Linked DNA regions of Danio rerio. The protein of the gene in region 3 purifies or fractionates together with the protein of the main gene of each other region. This does not show direct contact. Links are inferred from orthologs where the notes say so. Each region holds a gene or a part of one and is shown on either strand. Other genes may lie near its edges. The genes, in order: igf1ra, xrcc1, pcna, cdk4, top1a, dclre1a and pola1.

Region 1 (3,500 bases), on a different chromosome or scaffold from region 3:
ATATCGTGAAAACTGTGATAATTTTATCCAAGGTTATCATATCGTCAGAATCGTATACCTATAACTAAATAAACCTATTTAACATTTCAAAATCAACTGTATGGTGAGATTCCGCCGTTTCTTACCACATGGTGACAGTTGAACTCCTTCATAACTGAAGCTTCGTTCAGGAACTCGATGCGTTCACGTACGCTGGCGGATTCGTTTACAGTCTTGATAGCCACTCTGGTCTCAGGTTCATCTTTAACGACACCCTTTGCAATGCCCTCATACACCATACCAAAAGAGCCCTGGCCCAGCTCACGGCACATGGTGATCTTCTCTCGAGCCACTTCCCATTCATCTGGCACATACACTGAGGTGGCAGAAACAGAATCGGCAAAATTGTAATATATATAGAAGATCCTATAACATATTCTGCCAATCATGACGATTTAATGACTGAAGAATATTAGATAAATCTTTATAGCTATATAATTCCAGCAATAGGGATTACTTAATCATTTTCCTAATGATCATATGTATAAGTTTTGTCTGTCAGTAAAAGCATCAAAGTCAATATAAACAACAAGGTATTAGTTTTTAATAATTATTATTGATCATTTACAGTTATAAATGAAGTTATAATTATGTTTAAAACAGGAAATCAGGCACTGTCTTTGTATTAGTTTGGATTAAAAACAGCTAAAATACTCTTAGTTAAGAAAGTTATTTGAAATGCAACACAACCTGGTTTATAAACCTAATACTCACTTTCAAATGGACTGAAGTACTCGGGGTTCACAGAAGCATACAGCACACCATTTCCTATCCTGTCACTATTCCTGAAAAGAAGCATGCATAAAAACACAATAAAAAACAGTACTAGACAGTGGAAGTAAAAAAAGAAGTCTCGTATTTAATAGCTGGGACATCAACCTCTTTTTGGTCACAATGATGACAGCTACGATCACGAAGAGTAGCAAAAGTAGTACTATAACAGGGATAATGATGGCCACGTAGAAGGCATTATCATAATTCCCTGTAAGAGAGAAGGACAGAAAGATAAACAAAACATTAGACTGAATGCCTTGCATCACAAGCATTCCTTTAAAGAGAGTCATCAGTAAGCATTTTCTTAGGGCTAGACGATATGGTCAAAACAACTTTACATTTTCCCCATATCAGTCAATATTGATTATTATCACAATAAATGTCAAATATCTCTTTCTTTGAAATTTGTGGGTAGATTTTTGCTTCTGAGTGAAACCAGAAAGCCAACTGTTCATTTAAACTAATCTTTTAGACTACTATATTTTATAATGGTAACTATATGATGTATAAAAACTTTTATTGTGTAAACGTAAAATCTTTTGCCAGCCCTTGTTCTTAACAAAGAGTTAAAAAAATAAAATAATAATAATTATATATATATATATATATATATATATATATATATATATATATATATATATATATATATATATATATATATATATAATATAATTTTAAATATAGCGGGGAAAATAAGTATTGATAACATCACCATTTTCTTCTAAAAGTGCCACTGACTTGAAATTTGGATGTTAGAAACTACCAAAGACATCCATATATACAAAAGAAAAAAGTCTTATTAGTTTACAAATTAAGTTATGTGTAATTTTTTTGGCCTTTTTGCCTTTATTAGATGGAACAGTATTGAGACAGGAAGCAAAGTTGGAGAGAGAGAGGGGGGGTAGGGAAATGTCCACGAACCAGGATTCAAACTCAGGACGCCCTGACGTGCTACTGCACCATATGCCAGCGCACTAACCAATAGGCTTTTGCGCCGACAAGTTAAAAAATATATAAATAAAAAGCATTAAACACATGAAGAAAAGGAGCTGAAGAAAGGCAGTGAAAGACCAGACAGCAGCTGAAATCTCTCAGTAGTTATTCAGCCACCCTCTGTCATTGTAAATTACTGATGACCTTTCGTCATTGTAAATTAATATTAGCTGATTCAGTCCAACAACTGCATTATCAGGATGATAAAGATGAAACCAGGGTGGACATTTCAGCAAGACAATGATCCAAAGCATAGCCAAGGAAACTCCCAAATAGTCTTAGAGAAAGAAAATCAAGCTGTAGAATGGCCCAGCCAATCACCTGACTTGAATCCAATAGAAAATACAAATTTTGACCACTAGGCTATCGGAGGCTGCACGATATTAGAAAAAGCTGATATTGGGATACTTTATTTTTCTGCGATAAATATTGCGATATGAATACAGTTTCACAAGATAGTTTGAATAGCACCATTTGAACACTATTTCTGTGGAGTTTAACAGTACTCAGGTACATTAACTGTATAATCTACAAAGCAAAAAAAAAAAATGCATTTCTTACGGTGCTTAGTCTTGTTTCTAGTCCAAATCACAAAAAAATCTTTTAAAAAGTTAAATATTATTGTATTATTGTATTGTATTGTATTATTTATTATTATTTATTATTATTTTCAATTTCAGAAGAAACAAGTCAAAATTAAGAGTTTTTTTTTTTTAAAACAAGTAAACTTATCTGCCAGTGGGGTAAAAAAAAAAGTTTTTTTTGATTTGGGATGTAAATATTTACACTAGAAACAAGACTTTTGTAATTGTAATTGTAAGTAAGAAAAACATTTTTGTTTCCGTTTTTGCATAAATCCTGTATAAATACAGTAATTAACTACGATTCCGTAGCTTATATTTCTAATAATTCAGAATGAACAATGCATATCATGCGATGTGACTATTGCGAATGTGCACATTACAATATTGATGCTGAAACGATACATTGTGCAGCCCTACAACTATCGTTATTATTTTCTTGACAAACACTTATCCTACAAGTAGGCCTATGGGTGCATTTCTTACGTTTAGGGGGTGGCACGTAGAAGGACACTGGTTCAGTCCAAGACCCGTTTCCAGCCAGAGAAGTGGCTCTGACTCGAGCTGAATAATTTCCAGAGGCCAAATTGCTAAGCTGAGCTCCTCGCAGAACTTTGTACTGCTGTCGTGATACACATTCATGCTTCTCAGCCTGAAACACACACACGCAGACATACATCCTCAGTCAGTTGGTTTGTGGCTTTGGCTTTGGTTATAACTATTTCTTAATGGTGTACGAGTTAGTTGTCACACTAACCTCAGTTCCCAGACGATATTTGATCTCATACATGAGGATCAGTCCGTTGGGGTGAAGAGGTTCAGGCCACCGCAGAAGCACTATTCCTTCTCCCTTCTCATCCCTCTCCTGAGTCACAGAGCCGGGAATATCATCCGCTTTATCTGTAGAAGAACATAAGTATGCTCAAGGCCAGTGCTTTCTTATAGTAATTCAATAAGGTTTAGATTGCATTCAGGCTTAATTGCCGCTAACATGAACAGGAAAACTAATCCAAAAATCATGCTGTAGGCACAGTGGATATTAATATTTCACTGGCCTGAATATGCAGTGATTTGGTTTGTTGGTTTTTGCTGACCTGCCGGTTTGGTTCTGGA
Region 2 (3,500 bases), on a different chromosome or scaffold from region 3:
TCAACTGTATAAAATAACGAATTTAATAATGTTAAAGTATTTGATAGCACTTCATTTGTACCTCTGCTGCTGGGACTGGTGCCCATGCTGGATCTTGCTTTGGCTTTCGGTGTGGTTTCGGCAGATGCAGATGAACTGGGCTTCTTGGCTGGTGGACCGGAAGCTTCCAGACGCTCTTTACTGAACTCAAACTTTCGCTTCACGGGAGCCTGTGAGAAATAGTAATAATACCTTTTATTTAAAAGGCACCTTACTGGCAACTCAAGGACACCGTACAATAAAACAAGAACAATAAAACAACAAGAGGAATAATATAAAAGTATACACGACAATAGTGCAGATGCAATCAAGCATTAAAAGCCACGTTCAATAAGAGATTTAGTTTGGGCAGCATTTTGGCTCAGTGGTTAGCACTGTGGCCTCACAGCAAGAAGGTCGCTGGTTCGAGTCCCGGCTGGGTCACATTTGGCGTTTGCATGTTCTCCCCGTGTTGGTGTGGGTTTCCTCCAGGTGCTCCCATTTCCCCCACAGTCCAAACACATGTGCTATAGGGGAATTGATCAACTAAATTGGCCGTGTGTGTGTGTGTGTGTGTGTGTGTGTGAATGAGTGTGTATGGGTGTTTCTCAGTACTGGCTTGCAGCTAGAAGCGCATCTGCTGTGTAAAACATATGCTGGTATAGTTGGCAGTTCATTCCGCTGTGGCGACCCCTGATGAATAAAAGGACTAAGCCGAAGGAAAATGAATGAATGAATTATTTAGTTAAAATAAAAGTGTTGTCTTAACCTGTATTACAATGTTTGAAAATAAAAATTGTTCTTGAAATAATAAAGGTTTAATAATTTCACGTCTGATCAGAGGAATGCCTGAATATCCTCAATCTTACATCAGGTCCAGCGTCTTCATCTCTGATTGTGCTGAGATTCAGTTTCTTTAGCTTCAATTATAGAAGATGTAATGCTGTAAAAGGTCAATAATCCACGCAGACGAACACAGAATATCTGCCGCTTCAGCACAGGAGCGTCTGTGAGCTGAGAGATGATTTATGCACAGCAAAGAGTGGCTCTAATTTAATAAGGGAGTAAAATGTTACTATAAAATTTTTTATTATGGAAAGAACAAAAGCAAAGAAAAATACACTTACTAAAAACTTCAATTTTATTTAGCCCAACAGTTCACACATTACTGTCTGGCTAGTTTCTGTCCTCTGCTTATAAGCTAAAAAGGCAATAATGGTCCAACATTCCTGACCATCATCAACAATAAAGCCTAGAAAAACAGGCCCTCAGTATAATGTAAACTGACAGGTTCAAATCTTTCTTTCCAAATATCAAAGAAATAATTTGTTCCTTATTTATAGTTTTGCAACTATTAAACTGTTTTAAATTCAAAACTGTAATATATATATCAGTGTAAAACCTATGAATGGTGGAGAAGCATATTCTGTAATCGTGTATCTGGGTCACTTTTGCCATGACCTATTTTGGCTTTAACAAACTCATCCCTCAGGTTTTTCCAAACTTTTTTCTAGCTAAGAATTATTGATCATCTGGTTCTCCCTATAATCACGCGTGGACGGATCATAAAGGTGTCTGTACAGTCGTACCCGTTTCAGACAAAATCTCTTCAAAGTCTTTCATATTCAACTCAAATGAAACGCGGCGCTGCGCAAACAATCGAGTCTCAAAATTATTCACCCAAAGCGAACCTCTGCATACTCTGCGATGACGTCACATTGAGTTCAATAACAGTAAGCTGATTGGCTGTTGCATGTTGGTCTCATTTGTAGTTGTAATACCGCATATTACATTTGGACTAGTGAAATAAAGAACTACAACACCAAGCAACAACAACAAAAGAGTTTAAATGAGCATTAGATGTAGCCTTACATGGACATTGGAAAAATAAGACCTGTGCAGAAATATTTAAGACCTACAACAGCAAATTTAAGACTTTAAGGCCTAAAATTTCGATTTTTAAAGACTTAAGACCCCGCTGAGACCCTGTACAATACAAATGCAGTACCTGCTGTGTGTCGCTGGCAGGTGTGTGTGTGGACGAACCCTCAGTCTTCAGCGCAGCAGCGGCGTAACTCAACCTCTCATTCGGAGGAGAAACTGCAGAAAACAATCATGTAAGACCATTATATTATTTACTGCAGCATTTCAACTCATTTGAAAACTTGAACCTTTTTTGTGTAATGCCATATAAAGGTAATTATGATTCATGTTTTAATGCCTTACTGAAAAACTACAGTTAACAAACCATGCTGTTTTCAGGCACAGAATTAAAAACAATTAAAAGACAACTGCAACTTTTTGATTTTGACCAGATTTTTACTAAACCCTCTTGTTGTCTATAATTCTGTATAAAATGTTCACCCTTTGGGTCAGAAATGCCCCGCCTTCACTAAACTTCTAAAATAAATAATGTAAAAAATGTAATGTTAAACCTCAACTGTGTTTAGCATGAAGAAACAAACTCACCTTCATCACACTCTGTCAATGTTTGGGTTTTCCCTCATCAGTTTGCAGTATTTCAGCAGTGTTCACTAGGGTTGGGTATCGTTTGGGTTTTTTTTCGATACCGGTGCTAAAATCGATACTTTTAAAACGGTACCGGTGCCAAAACGGTGCCTGAACTGATACCTTTTAGCCACAAAATGATTTTAAAAAATTTTTTAAATAAATAAATAAATAAATATATCTCCCGGATGCCCACAAACGAATGATAATCTCCCAGAAATCCCACCCTGTCCTCAAATACATCCCCCATCCACTCCTACTCTTCAGATACATCGTACACATCCCATGCTGTGATGCGAACGGAGCCATCTCCACTATCTAGTTATGACCTCTCCTGGAAGCTCTGCATGTCTTCTGCAAATTCATACCGGCTCCGTGATCCCCCAAAATGAATTAAAAGAACACGGAAATCATGGCGACGAGAGTGAAGGAGACAGAGAACAGATCGCGAGAGGAGCAATGATGGTCTAATAATTTTGAAGCTTTGGTGTTGCTGCCTTTATTTTTGATGTATTGTACTCTCTTCTCCTGGGGGCCTGAGCACCCGTTTGAGATTATGCACATATTATGCTTTTTTTGCACATAAATATACCTGTGCAACATTAATATTAGAATTGATATTAATAATGGATACCTCCCTACTACGATAAGTGTACAGTACTACGGTGCTTTACCCTTCAGTCCAGTGCTGGATTTAGCTGAAGTGTCCCTGCTGAAGAACAGAGCTCCAGGCTGCACGTTTGACCCAGCAGAAGGAGACTCGTCTTTAACTCGGAATTGACCCAGCTTGGTCAGCTTCTGTGAGGGAGGGAGAGAGCAGACAGATGTTTAATGTCACCCATTCATTTGGAGTATGTTATAAATTGTAAGATTAAACGCCTGTAAACATTAAGGGTGCTTTCAAAGTGAAGAACGGGGGGTGGGGGGGGTGTTGCACGCACGCAAAGTGAAAAGCGGGGGAGGAAAAGGCGAAG
Region 3 (3,949 bases):
TCTGATAAAATCCCAGATAATTATTAAATCACTTATAACCTACTCTTTTAGGGTAGCTTTTTAGATTTATTATTATTGTAAGCGTTTGATTATATTCATTGCATTTTTTTTGCATTCATCCTGTATGCATCTTTAACAGCTGCACATTATGTCTGTAAAGTGCCCCGAGATGCTACTTTTAAAGGTGCTAAATGAAAATAAAGCTGCTTATTATATAAATCTGATCAATCAGATGGGGCCTTTACTACCTTTAGCCCCGCCTCCTAAGTAGTTGCTGTTCTGCTATTGGCTGGATTGGCTTAAAGGTGAAATCAGAGCTAAAAAATGATTCTCACTAATAGTGCTTTAAAGACTAAAGGTTTGCATCTTGACAGTTTTAAGTCTGAATTAGATCTGGAAAATATATTTTACTTGTTTATTGCAAAATCATGAAATAATTTTTTTAAAACAGCTAATTAAATTGACTTTTTCAGAGAAATGTTTGATTATAGAATATATATTGCATATTTTTCCCAGTATCGTGCAGCCTTAAATGAATAGTATGTTACCGCTTCATCCTCCTTGTCGACGTTGCTGGTCTGTGAGAGCTTGATGTTGCCTGTGCCCAGCTCTCCGCTGGCAGAGAACTTCACGCCATCCTTGGCACACGAGATCATGACAGCATCACCAATCTGTGACAGATCCCTGCAGATGCGGGCAAACTCACCCGACGGCATCTTCACCACACAACTGTATTCCTGCTCCTGAGGGGAAGAGAATAAAGCATGATCATTGCAGACAAACATCCACGATCATATCAGAAATAAACAGGAATCAAGAGAGGGAAACTCAATAAACTTTAAGACCTCATCGCCATTTTAGGTTTTAACTTAACATTGGTGACAATTCAACTTGTAGTATATTTACTAAATACTGATTGTAAGAAACGAATCCTAAACTAAATCGGTCATGTACTGAATAAAAATGCTAATCCCAACAGATGGCACCTATAGAACAGCAGGAAACATAGGCTTGCCTTTATTACTGCAGTAGACAAAGCAGTGTGATGCCAAATCTAGCAGGATTTTATCAATTTCATAAACCACACAGATTAAATTTAGGCAAACTTTAGCACACAACTACACATTATATAATCATAAAATGACCAAAACAATTATATCTTGTAAAACAACAGTTAAGGCTGTTTAATACCAAATTGATTTATCAACTTTTAATGACCCTGCAGACACCCTGTTATAATAAAGTCTTACTGGAATGCCAAGCTGCTCCACATCCAGATCCATCAGTTTCATCTCATAGTCGGACACTTTCTCTTGATCTGAAATGAGATGTAAATATTAGTATGGATTATTAGCTCTCCAGCAAAACTTAACTTTTGGTTTCATAGTAATAGTTGATAACATGGTGAAGAAAATCCATACTAGAAGCATTTTTTTTATGTGATGTTATTAACCACAAAATGGCTCCAGTATCTATGCGAATTTCATTCTTACATTTTTGGAGAAAATTATTATTAGAAAATTATTTTTAAATATTAAGTATTAATTATTTAGCTTAACTTTAATGATTCATTTTAAACCAAAGCCCATGTTTTTAACAGGTATTGCTGATAAATCGATATTAAAATACTGCAAATATAAATTTAGCAACATAAAATAAATTCATAATAAAAAAAAGTTTTTTTTAATTGTACACTATCAAAAGTATTGCTATTCCTAGTTTAAAAAGAAGTTAACTTACTGAGCGTTTCAAAGACCAGTGCCAAGGCGTCAGCATTGTCTTCAGCTCTGAGTGTGATGATGTCTTCATTTCCAGCACACTTCAGAATCTTCGACATGCTAGGAAACAGATGAATAATAATCAAAACACGTTCACTTCAGGTAGAAAAACACCATATTGATCGTAAAATGGTTTACCATTTACATTCGAAACAGTCATGGCATACACAAAAAGTGTCTAAGCAGGTTTTCTTTGTCTAACACCAGAGCCATGTTGTCATTCAGCAACCCGGCATTTTCTTTCCCGCCAACAAGCTTAAGCGCGCGCAAGTGACGTCACGATCAGTAGAGCGTGGGACGAATGCAGGAAACTGCGCGCCAAATTAAACTGATAGCCTATTTAAAACACAACCGTAAAACGGCATACTTTAATAACAACTACTGTAAATAAAATACTTTTGTCACTTTATAGTCTAAAAATGGCGCGCTGCTGTGTAGAGGCGCAGCCCCGGGCATGCGCAGACATGTTCAAACTTCACTCACCAAGTAAATACGAGTCAAATAACACAAAAGGCGCTTGATTTAGTCAGTGATTTTACCTGCTCAGATTGACCCCCATGGCTAGGTTTCTGTCGCAGCGGTAGGAGTCGAACCCGTCACTCCGGAGCGTCAGCTGCACCAGAGACACATGAGAGGAGTCCATACTCTGCAGAGAAATGCCCGACGAGCTCACATCCCAGCAAGCCTCGGTGATCAGGTCTTTCAGAGCCTCCAGGACCTTCTTAAGGATAGATCCCTGAACCAGACGTGCCTCAAACATTGTGCTGCTTTCTTAGTTTAGAGTAGGAGGAACTAAAGTTATCTAATCCTGTTACGACACAAGCTGCGGCCTGGTTAACTGCTTGTTTTCCAGCACAGGAAAGCAGAATCCTAAACTATCCTAGAGTTTAGCAGGTACTAATGCAGAGGAGGCACGGTGCAGATGTGCTGTCCACTGTTCTGGCGAGGCTCTGAATGTAACTGCGCGCGCTTTCGCCGGGATTTTGTTAAACTGACCCACTGTTGCCTTCGTCATTTCCGCTGACGTTTGACTCCTCCTGGAACGCAGACAGAACTGCGGACACTGACCAAAAGAGGGCGCAATTTGGTCAGAAGGTATGAGTTATTCACAACATTTATGAATACCCATTACAGTGCGTTTTAATAACCTTTACCCCCACCCAAACCCTAAACTGACCCGTCACTGTGGTGTAAAATATTATATATTGTCGTACAGTGTGAAAAATGATGCTATGTCAACGTGCGCATGCCCAAGTATCCACAACTGTATCCCTTTTTTTGTTTCTTTGACAAATTACTGTGCTGTTGCTAGAAGGGATACAGCTACGGTCGGCAGTTAACGAGAATTATTTATAAAATTTATAAATACCCATTACAGTGCGTTTTAATAACGTATACCCCCTAACCAAACCCTAAATTGACCAGTCACAGTAACGTAAATTATTAATTATTGTTGTGCAGTTTACCAAAGATCAGACTATGTTGATGTGCGCATGCCCAAGTATACGCACCTGTATCCCTTTTTTGTTTCTGTGACAAATTACTGTGCTGTTGCTAGAAGGGATACAGCTACGGTCAGCAGTTAACGAGAATTATTTATAAAAATTATAAATACCCATTACAGTGCGTTTTAATAACGTATACCCCTAACCAAACCCTAAATCGACAAGTCACAGTAACGTAAAATATTAATTATTGTTGTGCAGTGTACCAACGATTGATGTTGATGTGCGCATGCCCAAGTATCCGCAACTTTTTGTGTAACACATGTTTTGTTGCTAAAGGATATAGCTGCGGTCTTCAGTTAACAATAACTACTTATAATATTTATGAATACCCATTATAATGCTTTTTAATAACGTCTACCTTACCCAAATCCTAAATCGACCCATCACAGTAACGTAAAATACTGTTGTGTCACAAAAATCATGCTATGTTGATGTGCGCATGATCAAGTATCCCACAACTGTATCCCTTCTTTTGTTTGTGTAACACATTTATGTATGTATATATATATATATATATATATATATATATATATATATATATATACATACATACATACATACATATATGTGTTACACAAACAAAAGAAGGGATACAGTTGGGGATACTTGAGCATATATATATATATATATATATATATATATATATATATATATATATATATA
Region 4 (3,879 bases), on a different chromosome or scaffold from region 3:
GATGGAGAACGAGCACTGAAGGGTCAGTTCACCCACAAATCGACATCTACTTAGGGTTATCTCTCCCTCACGGGGTCTTTAACCCATCTTCTGTTAAACATTAAGAAGATATTTAGAAAAATGTTGAACACCAGCAACCATTGACTTATATACTATTTGTTTCTCCTACTTTAGATGTCAATAATTACAACATTTTTCCAAATATCTTCTTTCATGTTGAACAGAAGAGAGAAGCTCCAACAGGTTTCAGACCCCCTGAGGGAGAGATAAGCGCCAGTAGATGTTGATTTGTGGGTGAACTGACCCTTTAAGCCAGCGGAGTCAAACTCAGTTCCTGGAGGGCCGCAGCCCTGCACAGTTCAGCTCCAGCCCTGCTCCAACACACTCACCTGGAGCTTTCAAACAAGCCAGAAGGACTCAATTAGTGTGATCAGCTGTGTTTAATTAGGGGAAAACTAAACTGAGCAGAGCTGCGGCCCTCCAGGAACTGACTTTGACACCCCTGATTTAAGCTCCTCTTCATCACAGAGCAGATGAACACACACACACACACACTCAGGGAATGTTTATCTTCAGTCTGCTGGCTTGTGTGTGTGTGTGTGTGTGTGTGTGTGTGTGTGTGTAGAGCAGCATCACTCGCTGAAGAAGGGATGATCCAGAGCGTTCAGCGCAGAGATCCTCTTCAGCGGGTCGAAGGTCAGCATTTTCTGTCAACACAAGAACACAGAGCTGTCAGCGCGTCTCTCACATCACTCATGCGTTTAGCATCTCCTGCTGAACACGAGCGGTCAGCAGATCCAGGTGACCGATGCAGCATCACTCTCTCCTACAGCGCCCTGCGTCTGAGCTGTGTGTGTTGTGCTCAGGGTTATCTGTCGGTGTGTGTGTAAACGTACCAGCAATAGCTCCGCCCCTTTCTCTGTGATGTCCGGAACGCAGTCTGTGATTGGCCGAGGGCTCTGAGGGCTGAAGTTGTGGTGGGAAAGAGTGACGTCTGTGGGCCACTGATCCTCCGCCGGCAGACCGATCACCCTGAGGGACACACTGATCCGTCAATAACACACCTCATCTCTCTGTGTGAATGTGTGTGTGTGTGTGTGTGTGTTTGACATACGCAAAGATCTTCCCCAGCTGGTCCGCCTCTGAATCTCCGCAGAACAGAGGCCTGAAGAGGAGAATCAGGACAGAATCATCAACTCAAGCTCACAAACCAGAGGACATACAGCAGCAGATCTGCAGCCGCTGACACACACGCGCACGCACGCACGCACGCACGCACGCACACACACACACACACACACTCTGCTGAGACTCACTTGCGTCTGAACATCTCGGCAAAGATGCAGCCGGTGCTCCAGATGTCCACTGGTGTGGCGTATGTGCTCTGCAGGAGCACCTCAGGAGAGCGATACCACAGCGTCACCACCTGACACACACACACACACACACACACACACACACACACACACACACATACACATCAGTATTTGTGTGTCAGCAGTGTGTTCACAGGACATTGTGTGTCTCTGTGTGTGTGTGTGTGTGTGTGTGTGTGTGTGTGTGTGTGTGTGTGTGTGTGTGTGTGTGTGAGTGTCTCACCACCGGGGTCAGTGCCATGTGGCAGCTGTAGATGCGCGCCAGCCCGAAGTCCGCCAGCTTCACCTGCCCTCTGCTGGTCACCAGGATGTTCTCCGGCTTCAGATCCCGATGGAGAACTCGATTAGTGTGCAGGAACGCCAGACCACACAGCAGCTGCTGCATCAGGTCCTACACACACACACACACACGCACACACACACACGCACACACACACACATTACAGGAACGCAAGACAACACAACAACTGCTGCATCAGGACCTGCAGAACACACACACACACTCTCTCTCTCTCCATGTTATTCAGCAGGTGTTATCAGGGAATAACACACTGTTGAAGTGTCAGAAATGACCAATCAGCCCTCCAGACAGCTGTCTAATAAATACAATTAAAGCATGCTGTAATGCTTTATAAAGGATTATGAAGGCCCTGTGATATTGAAATAATGTGAGCATCAGTGTGTTAGTCGTGCTGATATCTATAATATCCAGAAACAGAGACGACATTCACATTGAGCAGATAGAACGTCTGCAGTTTGTCTCGTCCGCCTAAATGGATCAAGCACATCACTTCATACAGCAGTTTCTCATCAAATATCCTGACCAATCACACGCTCTCTCCTGTCTGGCATGCCCCGCCCTCTTCTTCTCATTGGTTGTTCATCTGATGCGCTTGAGCTCAACCACGTTTATACAGATGATGCCATCATTCATCACCGATGGCCGATAGACAACACGATGCTGAGCCGGCATCGCCAATCCTCCACCCCGCCCCGCCCCCATCGCAAACCCGCTCGCAAACAACACATACTCACAAACCCGCTCGCAAACAACACACACTCAGGCCCCGCTTACACTGACACAGCTTACTTTATACATGGCATGCGCTCAGCTGAGAAGACCCCGCTCTGACCAATTAACCCACAATATAACTGAACTATTGGTCAAACAATAAATATTCATGTGTGTGTGTGTGTGTGTGTGTGTGTGTGTGTGTGTGTCTTACTCTGATTTTGTCCACAGGCAGTCCCGGTGCTGGAACTTTCTCCAGGTATGTCCTGAGATCCTGATCCACATGTTCAAACACCAGCGTCACTTTAGTCTCCTGATCCGTCCTGAGGGTCGCGCACACGTCCATCAGCCTGAAACACACACACACACACACACAGATTACACACTTACAAAATGCCTGATCATAGACACACACACCCCGTCATCACGCACAGAGGACGCGACACACAGATTACGAGATCTTTCAGCAAAACAAGAACCTCAAACAAACAGTTGCAGAACTACTACAGTTCTGAAGGAGATCAGTGTGTGTGTGTGTGTGTGTGTGTGTGTGTGTGTGTGTGCCCATGAGTAATTGTGTGTATCAGTGATTGTGTGTGTGTATGTAACTGTGTGTGTGTACCTGACGATGTTGGGATGGTCGAACTGCTCCAGGCGCTTCAGCAGAGCCACCTCTCGAACCGTGGACAGTGGGAGTCCGTCCTGATTGGTCTGCACCCGAACGCTCTTCAGCGCCACAAACTGCCCGCTGTCCCGATCCCGAGCCTTATAGACGGTCCCGTAAGCCCCGCCCCCGATCTCTGCTACTGGCTCATACTGCAGCCCCACCTCCTGCGCCATCTGCAAACACACACACATTACTGTGCCATCACCTGATGCACGCGCACACAAGTTCCTCTGCAGGCATCATTACCTGCACAAACATACACACGCTCACACACCTGTACACACACACACACACACCTGTACATGTGCACACACTGCTGTCAGTATGTGTGTGTGACTCTGCTGTAAGACAGAAACATCAGTTTTAGCTGTATTAAGACAAACCTGCACACACACACACACACACACACACCAGTTTCTCCACATTTACTCAACAGCTCAGTTGTGTGGCGCTGCTGGTTGTGTAAACAGGCCACAAACACACAAACCCAGAGCCTGAAAGCACATCACCATCACTAGAGCCAGAACAACCTCGAACACACTCTGTGTGTGTGTGTGTGTGTGTGTGTGTGTGTGTGTGTGTGTGTGTGTGTGTTAATACGCACACTTTGATTCTCCTCTTTCTTAATATAAGACTTCTCTGATGATCATTAGTGTGACATACAGACATGTAGGCTGTCATTGATCTAAATAAACTGTACACACACACACACACACACACACACACACACACAGTAAAGCAAGCAACACTGCATTTCTGCTGCCCAGCGCTGCACCATTACAACATTTCCCCACAAAAAACTTCCTAAAATGTCAAAAATTGAC
Region 5 (3,500 bases), on a different chromosome or scaffold from region 3:
AATAACACATCCCATCAGTCCTGTTCAAGGGCTGTTTTTACATTAGGTTTGCATGTACTTTGAAGTAATTTTAGGATGAAGGATTAATTTTGTGTTCATTTGTTTCATTTACCCAGCTTTTACCTTTTAATTATTTTTTTGTTAGACGGCTTATATCAGTTATATTGGCTCAAGCTTCATTACTTGTTCATTTTTTATTTTTATGCATTTCCAGCATGTAAGTTCTGCTGACAATGAACTTGTCCACTAGAGGGTACAGTTCACAAATAAGTTGTCCCACAGTCCCAGATGTGCATGTGTTTTGCTGAAGGGCAAAACGAACATGGTGAATGATTGGAGCAGAGTGAATTTTTATTGTTTTATAAATAAGGGGAGAAGGTTGCACCACAATTATTGATTACTGCACACCTGAATATGAGTTTAAGAATACACATCTAGATGGGTTGTGGGGTTTGGAAGTGCGCTCATGCGTACTGTGGAAGATAAAGGATTTGATTTCATGTCCTAACTGAGCACTCTGTCCCTCTTAATGCTTGAATGCATCTTACTGTAACTTGAGGTTCATTGTTTCTGTGCTCTTAAAGGATGACATTTGAGTTTGCTTGGATTCCAAACTCTCGTACAACTCTCATTCCTCCTTTTAGTTTTCGTAAAATAAAGGGAGATCATTTTGCTTTTGCCTTTTGGGAGGCCTGTTATAAAACACCTCCAGCTTTTTCACTGTCCGCTACAGTGTCAGTAGGATCTGCGTGGCCCTCTTGTAACCCAATCCAGCCCACCAACCTACACATTTCCTAAAGCAATAGTCCTCTCAGAGTAAACAGTCTTAGCTGGACCCTGTGCAGAAAGGGGCCCTTTATAAACACCATACATAGCTGAGAGTGAAAACTGGACATTTCACCTCAAGAGGTAAAGTGCCAAAATCTACAAGGTGTGACCAATGTGTCTGCAGTGGGTCGAGCAAGGACAACCCTAAATGTGTCATGCTGTACTTATTTCAAACCAGTTGTCTGTAAATGGTCTTCAGCGTTTGGCAGGCTCACACAGGTTTCTCTGAAATGCGTTTCTCATTCAGGTGTGTGCAAAATCTGCTGGTGTAGCTTTCTATAAGGGCTATTGCTTGTTTTTGATTAATTTATGCTCACCTAAAGCACTAAACTATTTCAGTGTACGGGTACATCTTTCTGAATCAAATCATTTGTATGCTGTCTAACTCCAGATTTACAACACTTTTGAATTCGTTTTTCCTGTTTCAGGGTCATACTTTTGTTACCAGGTGTTCATTCCTTTTTGAATGTGCTACTTAATTTTTAATTTCTTTGTTGGCAGATTCTCACAAACACAAAGATAAATACAAGGACAAAGAACACAAACACAAGGACCACAAGAAAGACAAAGAACGTGAGAAATCAAAGTACAGCAACAGGTATGACGTCTCCTACTTTGTCCTACAGCAGATATATAGGCAGTTTATAGCCCAGTTTGCTCTTTATGGAGTGTGTTTGATAAGCAGGGTGTGGCCTTTAGGGTTCAGACCACAGGAAGGAATGTTGGCTTTACTGCAACTTCCTTTGTAAACACTATCATCTATTTGGAGCCGATTTTGTTGATGGACCAAGCCATTGTGGCAATTAGATCACGGCATGTTTTATTGCATTTTGGCAGCGAACACAGGGACTCCTCGGAAAAAAAGCACAGAGATAAAGATAAAGAGAGGCAGAAGCTCAAAGATGGATCTTCAGACAAGCAGAAGGACAAACACAAAGAGAAGAGAAAGGAGGAAAGGGTGGGCAGAATCCTCGGTTACTTTCACATTGCAGCGGTTTTATCTGAGCTCAATCCTCTGGCTCTGGAGGAGTTGTAAATAGTCTTTTGTGATTCACACAATATTGAGTGCTGTTATTGACCTTTTTCTGTTTTTTTTGTTCTCCATTTCCTTCCTCAAGTCTTCTGATGACAGGCCTAAAAAAGAGAAACAGAATGGATTCGCAAGGTGAGCGTGAGCCCTTAATGTGACTGAAAATGATGCAACTGTAAGTTGAGTTTCACTATAATAAGAGACCCCTTAAATGGGTCATAACTTAAGTTAGGTAAACAGTCGACCCAAAACACAAGCCACTCAAATGTCAAAAGCAATGGTTGTCCTAACAGTGAGAATGACTCCTCTTCAAGTGCTTCCATGTCTTTGATTTTTTTTTTAATTGACATTTATAGCAGGGAAAAATGGATGATTTTAAAAACGTATTGTTTTGCTTTGTGTTCCGATGTCAGCCATGATGAAGCTATTTCAGTTGATGGATGTATGTTAACATAACCATTTCATTTTCGGTACATTGTGGTCCTTTAGCAATTTGTTGAAATTGTCAGGTTCATAACACATCCTCACAAAATATGAAAATCCCAGTGTATTTATGTTTGGCCAGTAGTTTAACATGTTGTAGAACAAATATTCTGCTACTGTTGTTATGATTCACATAATGAGCATGTCTTTTTGTATACTTTTCTAAATGCTTGTGGTTTAACACCACCCAAAATCTTGAAGTCATGTAAAAGAGCAACAGTGTTACAACAAAAAAATCTTTAAATGTTGCGGAAATCACCCTTATGCTGAAGGGTTTGGAGAATTACTGTATGTTTTCATTCTTAAGAGAAATCAAAGTGTTTCTTTATGATAAGATCCCTTTTAGGATCCACAGAATGGATGTAATCGCATAAATAGAAACATGAATTTATCTTGAGCCAATTTAAAAGGCTTCTCTTATTTGGTCATGTGAGTGAGAAAATGAATAATGGTTTTCATCCTTCACACAGCCCTCACATTAAATCTGAACCTGACAGCGATGACTTCTATCACTCTCCTAAACTAGAGAAGTCTCTGAAGAGAGAGCGGGATGATGACGAGTAAGTGACATTGTGTTTGCAGGACATCTTGAACTCACTTGTGACATTAAAACAAACTTGCAATCCTCTGTAGTCACGAAAGCTCCCTGTTCCTCTAATCTTTGTTTAAAATGGTAACCATTAGAGTGAATGAGACAGTGATTGTCTGGTATTTGAACGGTGTGTGTGTGGTTGCAAGGCATTTTGACATTTTGTTTTGTTTCATTCAGTGGTGATTACAAGCCCAAGAAAATTAAAACTGAGGATGACAGAAGTGAAAAGAAAGCAAAGAAACGGAAACAGGAGGAAGAGGTAAACTAATGAAGTTACTGGCTTATCTCTTTAGATTACACTTTCCAAGGTGTCAGTAATTTTGAATCTTTTGATTTGCCATAGGACATAAAGCCCAAAAAGAAAACAAAAGACAAGAAAGGAGAAGTTGCCACAGATGGCAAGAAAAAGGCAAAAAAGGAGCCAGAAGAGAAGTGGAAATGGTTAGTCTCACATCCTCTGATGGTCAAGTAATTGTAGGCTGACTCCTTGTCTTGAGTCTGTTTTGATTTTATTCGGGGATATGGTGCTGATCACAAATGTCCTTTTTCCGGCACTTTGCAGATCCA
Region 6 (2,775 bases), on a different chromosome or scaffold from region 3:
CTTAAATTCTTCATTTTGGATCTCTAATGAAATCTAACGAATCTCTAAAATTTCTAATATAAAATTGAATAAAAAAATAGAGAGAAAAATATATAATTTTTTTGCAGTGCTAGCAACATTTAAATCATCAATCAGTCCCTAAGAATTTATGCCTTCTGCTCTGATTAAGCACATTTCTATGGTTTTAAATTGTGGAAGGGTGAATAACACTTCTTACAACCCACAGAACCCCAGCAGTATAATTGCTATTGCTTTGAAATCTGTCATGTTGATACACTATCCAAATGTGTTTGATTTTTTTTTTTTCATTTTGAGATTCAGATATTGAAAAAAAAAATCTAAATCTAATCCTGAAACACTATATTTTAAAGACTTTACTGGAAAAATGTTGATCTGGATGTATAATAAACATAAAAAATGCAAAACCATAAAAAATAACAGCAACATTCCAATATACGAAAAGCAGAGTTATTAGTAGCATTTGAAATAAGTTTAATTGATTTATTTATATTTATGTTATTAATCACGTATAAAACCATCAGATTTAAAAAAAAATGCTCTAAAAGAGAGCATACAGTATGTGGTCCATTTCAGCATTAGCTATACTGGCAAGAAGAAAAACACAATAGTAAAAGTCAACACCTTTAACCTTTATAGCATTGCACTTAAAAGGCAGATTAGAAGTCATTTTGTTTTCAAATATAAGGCAGATGCCAAAACCAACATTTGGTCCACTGAATAGAACAAGTCCAATCAATAAAAGGCACCATTAACTGTGGTCAGTAGATTTCATTGTTGTTGTCAGTTTACTTATTGCCTTGTTCCACAGCTTGAGCTTCTGAGGGTGCAAGGTGTTGAGCTGAGGTTTCTGGGTTCAGTCATCCACTCATGGAAGAAGCCCTCCATGGCTTTCCTGCTCCTCCAGCTGCCCACATTCACCGTGGGGATGATCTTTTTCGGCCGTAGCCACTGAACAAATCGTTTCAGCTCCAGAAAACTGCTGTGCTCGCTGTAAGGAATACCTGAAATAGATAATTATAGAGTAGGCAATGGCTCTCAAACTCTTGGAGATGCTCAGAAAAAGCTATTTATACAAAAATTACTCTGCCACAATCAAATACGGACCAACAATAAGCATGCTTACACTATTTATACTACATAATGATGCAAAATAGTGCATTCACACTGAAATAAATGCACTTTTCAACTGATCTATCAGATTCTGATTTGACTAATTTAGCCATGATTAAACATCGCCTGGGAGGCAGTTTGAATTTCTGTTTAGTAAAAAATAACACTAAACTACACACAGTGTATAAGTGTATATACTGTAAGTGCATATACTGTGGTATGTCATACACTGTAGGACGAAACTAATAATTTATGAAACTGCTGTTTAAGCAGTCCATTATTTTGCAATTATATGGTATATTTGTGTAAAGGCCTAACAAGCACAAATTCCCACGAAAACCCATGCTGGACGTCTCAGATTCCAGTGGAGTTTGTGAAATGAGACGCATCTACTGCTTGAGGCAGCACCTGGTACGGCTGCAGACCGCTGATATTCTGAAATTAAAACCCTGGGCTTGCAAAACCTGACATCTTGAGTTTTTCACTGGGTCAAATCACATCTGCTGACTCTGTTAATATAAGAACATGATGTTCTTAGCCTGAAATGACATTCAGCATTTCTAACAACAGCAGGAAAAAAAAAATCAATAAAATGTAATTACATTCCTCATACGAATCCATTAGCTATAATCTTGTCAGTTAGTGGAACAGAATGACAAGGCTGTGTTGTCTCTACACCCAAAATCAGTTTAATGGAAAGCAATCCTCTTTAAGATCTTATTCAGGAAGGGAAGGCGTGACAGATATCAATAAAATACGTGTTTTCTGCATTTTTGTTTTATTGCTGTAGGCTGAGCATTACGCAAAATGGACAACCTTATAAAACCACATCAAACCGGCCATAATAGATGCCAAAAAGGCGCAAAATGATGAGGTGTTTTTTATATGTTTTTTCAAAAAAATGTCTTGTTTTCTTTTTGATTTGAAATGACAAAAATATGCACTCATTATGCCCAGGGCTCCTAAATATACCAGATAAAACGGACAGCATTTGAATGCATAAAAACAGTATTACCAAAACAACACAATTTGATGTACATGCACTTCCCTTGATTAGGGTTTGTTTCGAGTTGCAATTTCAGTTTCAAAGTGAAGTGACCCAATTTTCTCAAATTATTACATATAAATATAGCCCTACGCTTGAACTCTTAACTGGTTTTACCAAAAGCCTTGCATGTTAACATCTAAGTAGAACTGGGTGATTTCACCTAAAATCTAAATCTCCATTAATTGAATATTTTAACTCGATTACGATTAATGAACGATTATTTTATTCATTTATTTATTTTTTTGCCCTCAGAGTTCACAGACAAGTTTTGTACAGTGAATATGCTCACTTATTACAAGTGAGAGACTTTTCAATGAAGGGTGCATTACTTGATTTTAAAAATAATTGAAGGAGACACACACTATCTACTATCTATGATTATTTACTGAACATCAACGTTGAACAACTGAAATTAAAACACATATTGTCTGTTTTTTTCTCATAAAAAAGTGAAAATAAATAACTTGCACTTTTGGAAACAAAATTAATTATTTTCAATATAACAGTGCAGTTCTTGCATTTTGTAAGCAATCATTTTAATGTAATGGAAAAAGTGGAAAAGTAACACAATAGTAACAAACAGAGCCTGCTCATGT
Region 7 (4,264 bases), on a different chromosome or scaffold from region 3:
TTCTGGCAGCTTGGCGACGATCACTTCGTCGACTCTCTCTGTGGGTAGTTTCCATATCTCGTTGATGAGAAGTTGTGTGTTGTCTCGCGCTAAAGAGCGAAGACAGTCCTCCCGTTTGTTGCCTTTAAAGTCCCGTGTGTCAAGTCGGTTCTTGTCAAACGCCAGCAAAAGTCCCGGGTCGAATTCAAGATCCAACTCTTTGAGCACCGTAATACTTTTGAGCTTCTCAGCCTCGTCTCTTTCAGCTTTAGCGAGCACGTCTTCAATACTGCACGAAGCCATTTTGGTTCTACTGACAGACAACGTGGGTTCCCACATGTGCCGCTAAAAGCGGAAGTCTGGTATTTCAAAATAAAAGAACTAAAAACTAACTTAAAAAATAAAATAAACATTTCAAATGAGTTAAAGAAATATAACAATCTTTAAACATGTTTTAGCTAGTAAAACGTTTATCCTAAGTGTATATGTTTATGATACTAACTAACTTACTTCGGACGAAAGTTGTTCGGTCGAATGCAGGAGTAGCGATAAACCGACAGGACGTCCCATCGGCTCTGTGGCGCAATGGATAGCGCATTGGACTTCTAGATTGTTGAATGGGGTCATTCAAAGGTTGTGGGTTCGAGTCCCACCAGAGTCGACATTTTTGTGATCAGAATCAATAAAGTGGCCACATGCCAGAAGTTACCTGAAGTGCTCGAAGACATGATTCAAACGAACCTGACTCAGTGATTCAGTTTGTGGATGCGTGAATCTTATAGCCGAACCGAACCGGTGGGTTAAGCATACGGAGCAAATGGTTCGTTTTGATAAAATATTAAATTTATTTAGATATATATCGGTTCTGTGGATGTGTAACCTGGGACAAATGATTGGTTTCTAAATGCCAGTAAAACCTATAAGTGAAACCCATAGTTGTGGTAGAAATATTGATTTATTTATTTTGTTGCAGTTATACACACGCACGGTTGTATTTGTTTTATCATCGACCACTACAAATATCTAAAAATAATTAATTATCCTTAATAATACTTAAATTGTGTTTTTGGTATGATTTTAAAACTGATTTTTTGGATCTGTTTGGATTATATTATTACTGAACAAGTGATACTGAACTGATAATATGATTTCTGAACTGATGCCAATGTTATTCTTGAAAATTCTAACAGAAAAAATCTGGAAATTGCCTCTGCATACAGTATGCAAACAAAAACAAACTTGTTATTATTATTATTATTATAATTATTATTATTATTATTATTATTATTAGTAGTAGTAGTAGTAGTAGTAGTAGTAGTAGTAGTAGTAGTATTTGCATTACTGTTCAGTTACGCAAACAAAATGATCTTTAATTGTAAAATAACAAAAAACTCAAGTCTCCGATATAAAAAAATGAATGTGCTAAAAAATACACTGAATAAAGTCTGTCTACAACAGTTCGAATCAACTTGTTCAGATTGGTCGGCTGGTGAGAACGTCATATCCGCTGCTCGAGTTTCCCCGGGAAGACACTTTGGCGCGGAAATCTGTTGTTTTGGCTTCGCCCTTTGTAAGGAGAGAGAAATTCTACCTCGACTCAACCGCATTTTATATCAATGGCTCCTGTTTCAAATCCCGATAAAGACATGGACGGCGGAGATTGTGGTGAGCGTGTTTACAGGGATTAGTGTTGTTAGCTAACACAATATTCCAGCTTTCAGCTTAGCGGATGCATGTAGTGTACTGACAGCGCTAATGCAACATGAAATACAATACATTACATTGATTTATCTGAGCTAACTTAATCGTTAAAATATGCAAATACATTACCGTGTATCATCATTTTGTCGAGTAAACGTGATGTTTCGGTCCTTAAACATGAAGTTTGAAGCTGAACATGTCAGTATTAAGGCTGACAAATGTTTCTCAGTTCTCAGCTAGCGTTAACGTTACTCTTTCCTGGATAATACTTTAGTGCTTCTTTGGAAGACGTTTATGTAACATCCCAGCGGATGCCCAGCACTGGAAAAAGAAAATTAATAAATCATAAACAATAATAATGTAATATACAGTGACATAATAACACTACTACTACTTACTGCACTACTAACACTACTACTACAATATAATAATTATACAATTAAAAATATTCTTATTGCCACAGATGAAAATATCCTTTATAATGAAACAATATTGAAAAAATATGATATAATTATAAATATTCTAGTCACTTAAATGGTCTTTTTAACAAAGAAGTTAGCAAAATTTCACTGAATCACATTTGTGGATTTATATATATATATATATATATATATATATATATATATATATATATATATATATATATATTTTTTTTTTTTTTATGCCACATTTGTTTATGCCTTTAGATGCATCCGACACATGTGGCATTGCCGCCTCACGTTCCAGAAGGGAGAAAAAAGAGAAAGTCGGGCGCAAGTCTGCTTTAGAGCAACTTAAAAGAGCCAAGAAAGGAGAGAAAGTAAAATACGAGGTGAGATTCAGCTGTTTGTACATTTCATCTCTGCTGTTTCAGCGCTTTGACATTGTGTTGTGATCAGGTGGAGGAGTTCACCAGCATTTATGATGAAGTGGATGAAGAGCAGTACTCGAAAATAGTTCGGGAGAGACAGGATGATGATTGGATCATTGATGACGGTCAGTCATATTTTCATACTTCAATCTCCAATATGCAAATTTCAGTGTTTAATTGGTTGTCAGATTAATGTGCCTGTAAAATGCTGGGTTCTACACAATTCATGTCTTCATGTGTCCCAACACAAATCGTAGGGGTGTCAAAAGTAAATAAAACGCTCCTACTACTTATCCTACTTGATAATTATGAACAATTCAACTGCTTGTGAGTTTGTTGGAAAGTCTTTCATTGACACTAAAGAAGGCACAGCACACAAGCCACTATTTCACTACTTTTCACTACTCTCTTCTAAAGCCAATCGCCACCTTTTCTGTTGAGTGGGCGAAGACAACAACCAATCATATGGGTTTAAGACCTCGCTTGACAGTGCTCAAAAAGCAAGCGGGATAATATTTACATTTAGTTTATTTGCAATAAATGCTCATGCTGTTTTCTGTGCATGTGTTTGAGTTTTGTTTGATACATTCAAAAAGAGTGTTTTCCTTGAGCGGGTAAAATAATAGTTACTGTACATATATCTTACTGCTTGTTTTAAAGGACACATATGTATTACAAATAATCTAAATATAAATATATTTATAGATTTTAATGAAAAAAAAAATCTTGTGTTGTGAAGAAAAACTCTAATTCTGTATGGAAGGCATCGTCAATGCATTGTGATGCACAGAGATATCGAATTGAACCCTATCGATGGCATGATAAACATAACCAAACCATGAGACCAGTATAGATTCACACCCCTAACAAATCAAATTTAACATAATGGATTTTATAAATTTAAGATGATTTAACATTGAAAGTTGTCTTTAAAAAAACTCAAGAATTGAGTTGATTCAGCTCATTTTAAATAAGTAATTTAAACAAGCAGCAAAAATCATTTTTTAAGTGTGTGTCTTTTATCAGATGGGACAGGTTATGTGGAGGATGGCAGAGAAATCTTTGATGAAGAATTGGATGATGATGCATTGGGCCCTAAAAGTGAGTGTGGGAAAACCAGCACCTTTTATTTAAATTTTGTCAATTTGCAATATTAACCAGTGTGTTTGTGTTTTATTTAAAGTTGTCTTTACCAATTAATTATAACTTTATTTATATGTGAGCAGGTAAACAGGCTGCAAAAGGAGGTGATTCGAAAAAGAATGTGAAGAAATCATCTGTCAGTAAACCCAACAGCATTAAAAGCATGTTTATGAACAGTAATGTAAAGAAACCTGCGGAGGTAAGAGCTTTTTTAATTCACAAGATGCTTCTGTTTGTAACTGGCCATTATATTAACTTTTTTTTGGTGTGATTTTATAAAATTAAAGATTGGTTAAACCAAAAAGGAAACTTGTCAATGTTTGTAATAAAAACCCAAGTAAGGCAAGTAAGGTAATGCTTGACTAGTGTGTAAACAGAATTTTGTTTACCCATGTTTGCATTGTAGAAACATGTGGATTTGTCTCAAGATGATCTGCTGGGAGATATTTTGCAGGACTTGCACTCTGAGGTGAATCATTGTGACATTTTGTAATAAATGGATGTCTTTCTGCTTTTAATACAAGCATGCTACAGGTGCTTTCAATGTTGTTATTCATAACTTATTTTACACCTCATATTCATTTGAATGTT

Evidence for each region.
Region 1: the proteins of pcna (region 3) and igf1ra purify together in Homo sapiens (affinity purification with western blotting; 3 studies listed by BioGRID, with this or other methods). This does not show direct contact. The link is inferred for Danio rerio from reciprocal best matches to the Homo sapiens genes PCNA and IGF1R.
Region 2: the proteins of pcna (region 3) and xrcc1 purify together in Homo sapiens (affinity purification with western blotting; 3 studies listed by BioGRID, with this or other methods). This does not show direct contact. The link is inferred for Danio rerio from reciprocal best matches to the Homo sapiens genes PCNA and XRCC1.
Region 4: the proteins of pcna (region 3) and cdk4 purify together in Homo sapiens (affinity purification with western blotting; 5 studies listed by BioGRID and IntAct, with this or other methods). This does not show direct contact. The link is inferred for Danio rerio from reciprocal best matches to the Homo sapiens genes PCNA and CDK4.
Region 5: the proteins of pcna (region 3) and top1a purify together in Homo sapiens (affinity purification with western blotting; 3 studies listed by BioGRID and IntAct, with this or other methods). This does not show direct contact. The link is inferred for Danio rerio from reciprocal best matches to the Homo sapiens genes PCNA and TOP1.
Region 6: the proteins of pcna (region 3) and dclre1a purify together in Homo sapiens (affinity purification with western blotting; 3 studies listed by BioGRID and IntAct, with this or other methods). This does not show direct contact. The link is inferred for Danio rerio from reciprocal best matches to the Homo sapiens genes PCNA and DCLRE1A.
Region 7: the proteins of pcna (region 3) and pola1 fractionate together in Homo sapiens (co-fractionation; 3 studies listed by BioGRID). This does not show direct contact. The link is inferred for Danio rerio from reciprocal best matches to the Homo sapiens genes PCNA and POLA1.

What each region holds. Positions count from the first base shown.
Region 1 is NC_133193.1:22,286,746-22,290,245, forward strand, and holds part of igf1ra (insulin-like growth factor 1a receptor), read right to left. Parts: coding exon 3,482-3,500; intron 3,288-3,481; coding exon 3,145-3,287; intron 3,040-3,144; coding exon 2,874-3,039; intron 1,022-2,873; coding exon 919-1,021; intron 825-918; coding exon 754-824; intron 356-753; coding exon 126-355; intron 1-125. UniProt on the Homo sapiens protein: Receptor tyrosine kinase which mediates actions of insulin-like growth factor 1 (IGF1). Binds IGF1 with high affinity and IGF2 and insulin (INS) with a lower affinity. The activated IGF1R is involved in cell growth and survival control.
Region 2 is NC_133191.1:58,607,718-58,611,217, reverse strand, and holds part of xrcc1 (DNA repair protein XRCC1), read right to left. Parts: intron 3,325-3,500; coding exon 3,201-3,324; intron 2,119-3,200; coding exon 2,027-2,118; intron 210-2,026; coding exon 62-209; intron 1-61. UniProt on the Homo sapiens protein: Scaffold protein involved in DNA single-strand break repair by mediating the assembly of DNA break repair protein complexes. Negatively regulates ADP-ribosyltransferase activity of PARP1 during base-excision repair in order to prevent excessive PARP1 activity.
Region 3 is NC_133185.1:46,058,752-46,062,700, forward strand, and holds the start of pcna (proliferating cell nuclear antigen), read right to left. Parts: upstream 2,801-3,949; 5' UTR 2,539-2,800; coding exon 2,318-2,538; exon of another isoform or gene 2,265-2,317; coding exon of another isoform or gene 2,233-2,264; exon of another isoform or gene 2,043-2,232; intron 1,839-2,042; coding exon 1,741-1,838; intron 1,319-1,740; coding exon 1,251-1,318; intron 744-1,250; coding exon 549-743; intron 1-548. Other genes in the region: E3 ubiquitin-protein ligase TRIM69, read left to right, coding at 2,233-2,264. UniProt on the Homo sapiens protein: Auxiliary protein of DNA polymerase delta and epsilon, is involved in the control of eukaryotic DNA replication by increasing the polymerase's processibility during elongation of the leading strand.
Region 4 is NC_133186.1:160,555-164,433, forward strand, and holds the end of cdk4 (cyclin-dependent kinase 4), read right to left. Parts: intron 3,229-3,879; coding exon 3,011-3,228; intron 2,739-3,010; coding exon 2,603-2,738; intron 1,768-2,602; coding exon 1,600-1,767; intron 1,427-1,599; coding exon 1,317-1,426; intron 1,166-1,316; coding exon 1,115-1,165; intron 1,033-1,114; coding exon 897-1,032; intron 708-896; coding exon 633-707; 3' UTR 501-632; downstream 1-500.
Region 5 is NC_133186.1:27,371,600-27,375,099, forward strand, and holds part of top1a (DNA topoisomerase I, like), read left to right. Parts: intron 1-1,329; coding exon 1,330-1,426; intron 1,427-1,665; coding exon 1,666-1,786; intron 1,787-1,946; coding exon 1,947-1,993; intron 1,994-2,811; coding exon 2,812-2,901; intron 2,902-3,110; coding exon 3,111-3,192; intron 3,193-3,276; coding exon 3,277-3,374; intron 3,375-3,500. UniProt on the Homo sapiens protein: Releases the supercoiling and torsional tension of DNA introduced during the DNA replication and transcription by transiently cleaving and rejoining one strand of the DNA duplex.
Region 6 is NC_133187.1:32,310,308-32,313,082, reverse strand, and holds the end of dclre1a (DNA cross-link repair 1A protein), read right to left. Parts: intron 1,023-2,775; coding exon 811-1,022; 3' UTR 501-810; downstream 1-500. UniProt on the Homo sapiens protein: May be required for DNA interstrand cross-link repair. Also required for checkpoint mediated cell cycle arrest in early prophase in response to mitotic spindle poisons.
Region 7 is NC_133199.1:27,759,874-27,764,137, forward strand, and holds the start of pola1 (DNA polymerase alpha catalytic subunit), read left to right. Parts: upstream 1-1,464; 5' UTR 1,465-1,595; coding exon 1,596-1,644; intron 1,645-2,366; coding exon 2,367-2,491; intron 2,492-2,558; coding exon 2,559-2,655; intron 2,656-3,556; coding exon 3,557-3,631; intron 3,632-3,756; coding exon 3,757-3,872; intron 3,873-4,079; coding exon 4,080-4,142; intron 4,143-4,264. Other genes in the region: rrs1 (ribosome biogenesis regulatory protein homolog), read right to left, coding at 1-282. UniProt on the Homo sapiens protein: Catalytic subunit of the DNA polymerase alpha complex (also known as the alpha DNA polymerase-primase complex) which plays an essential role in the initiation of DNA synthesis.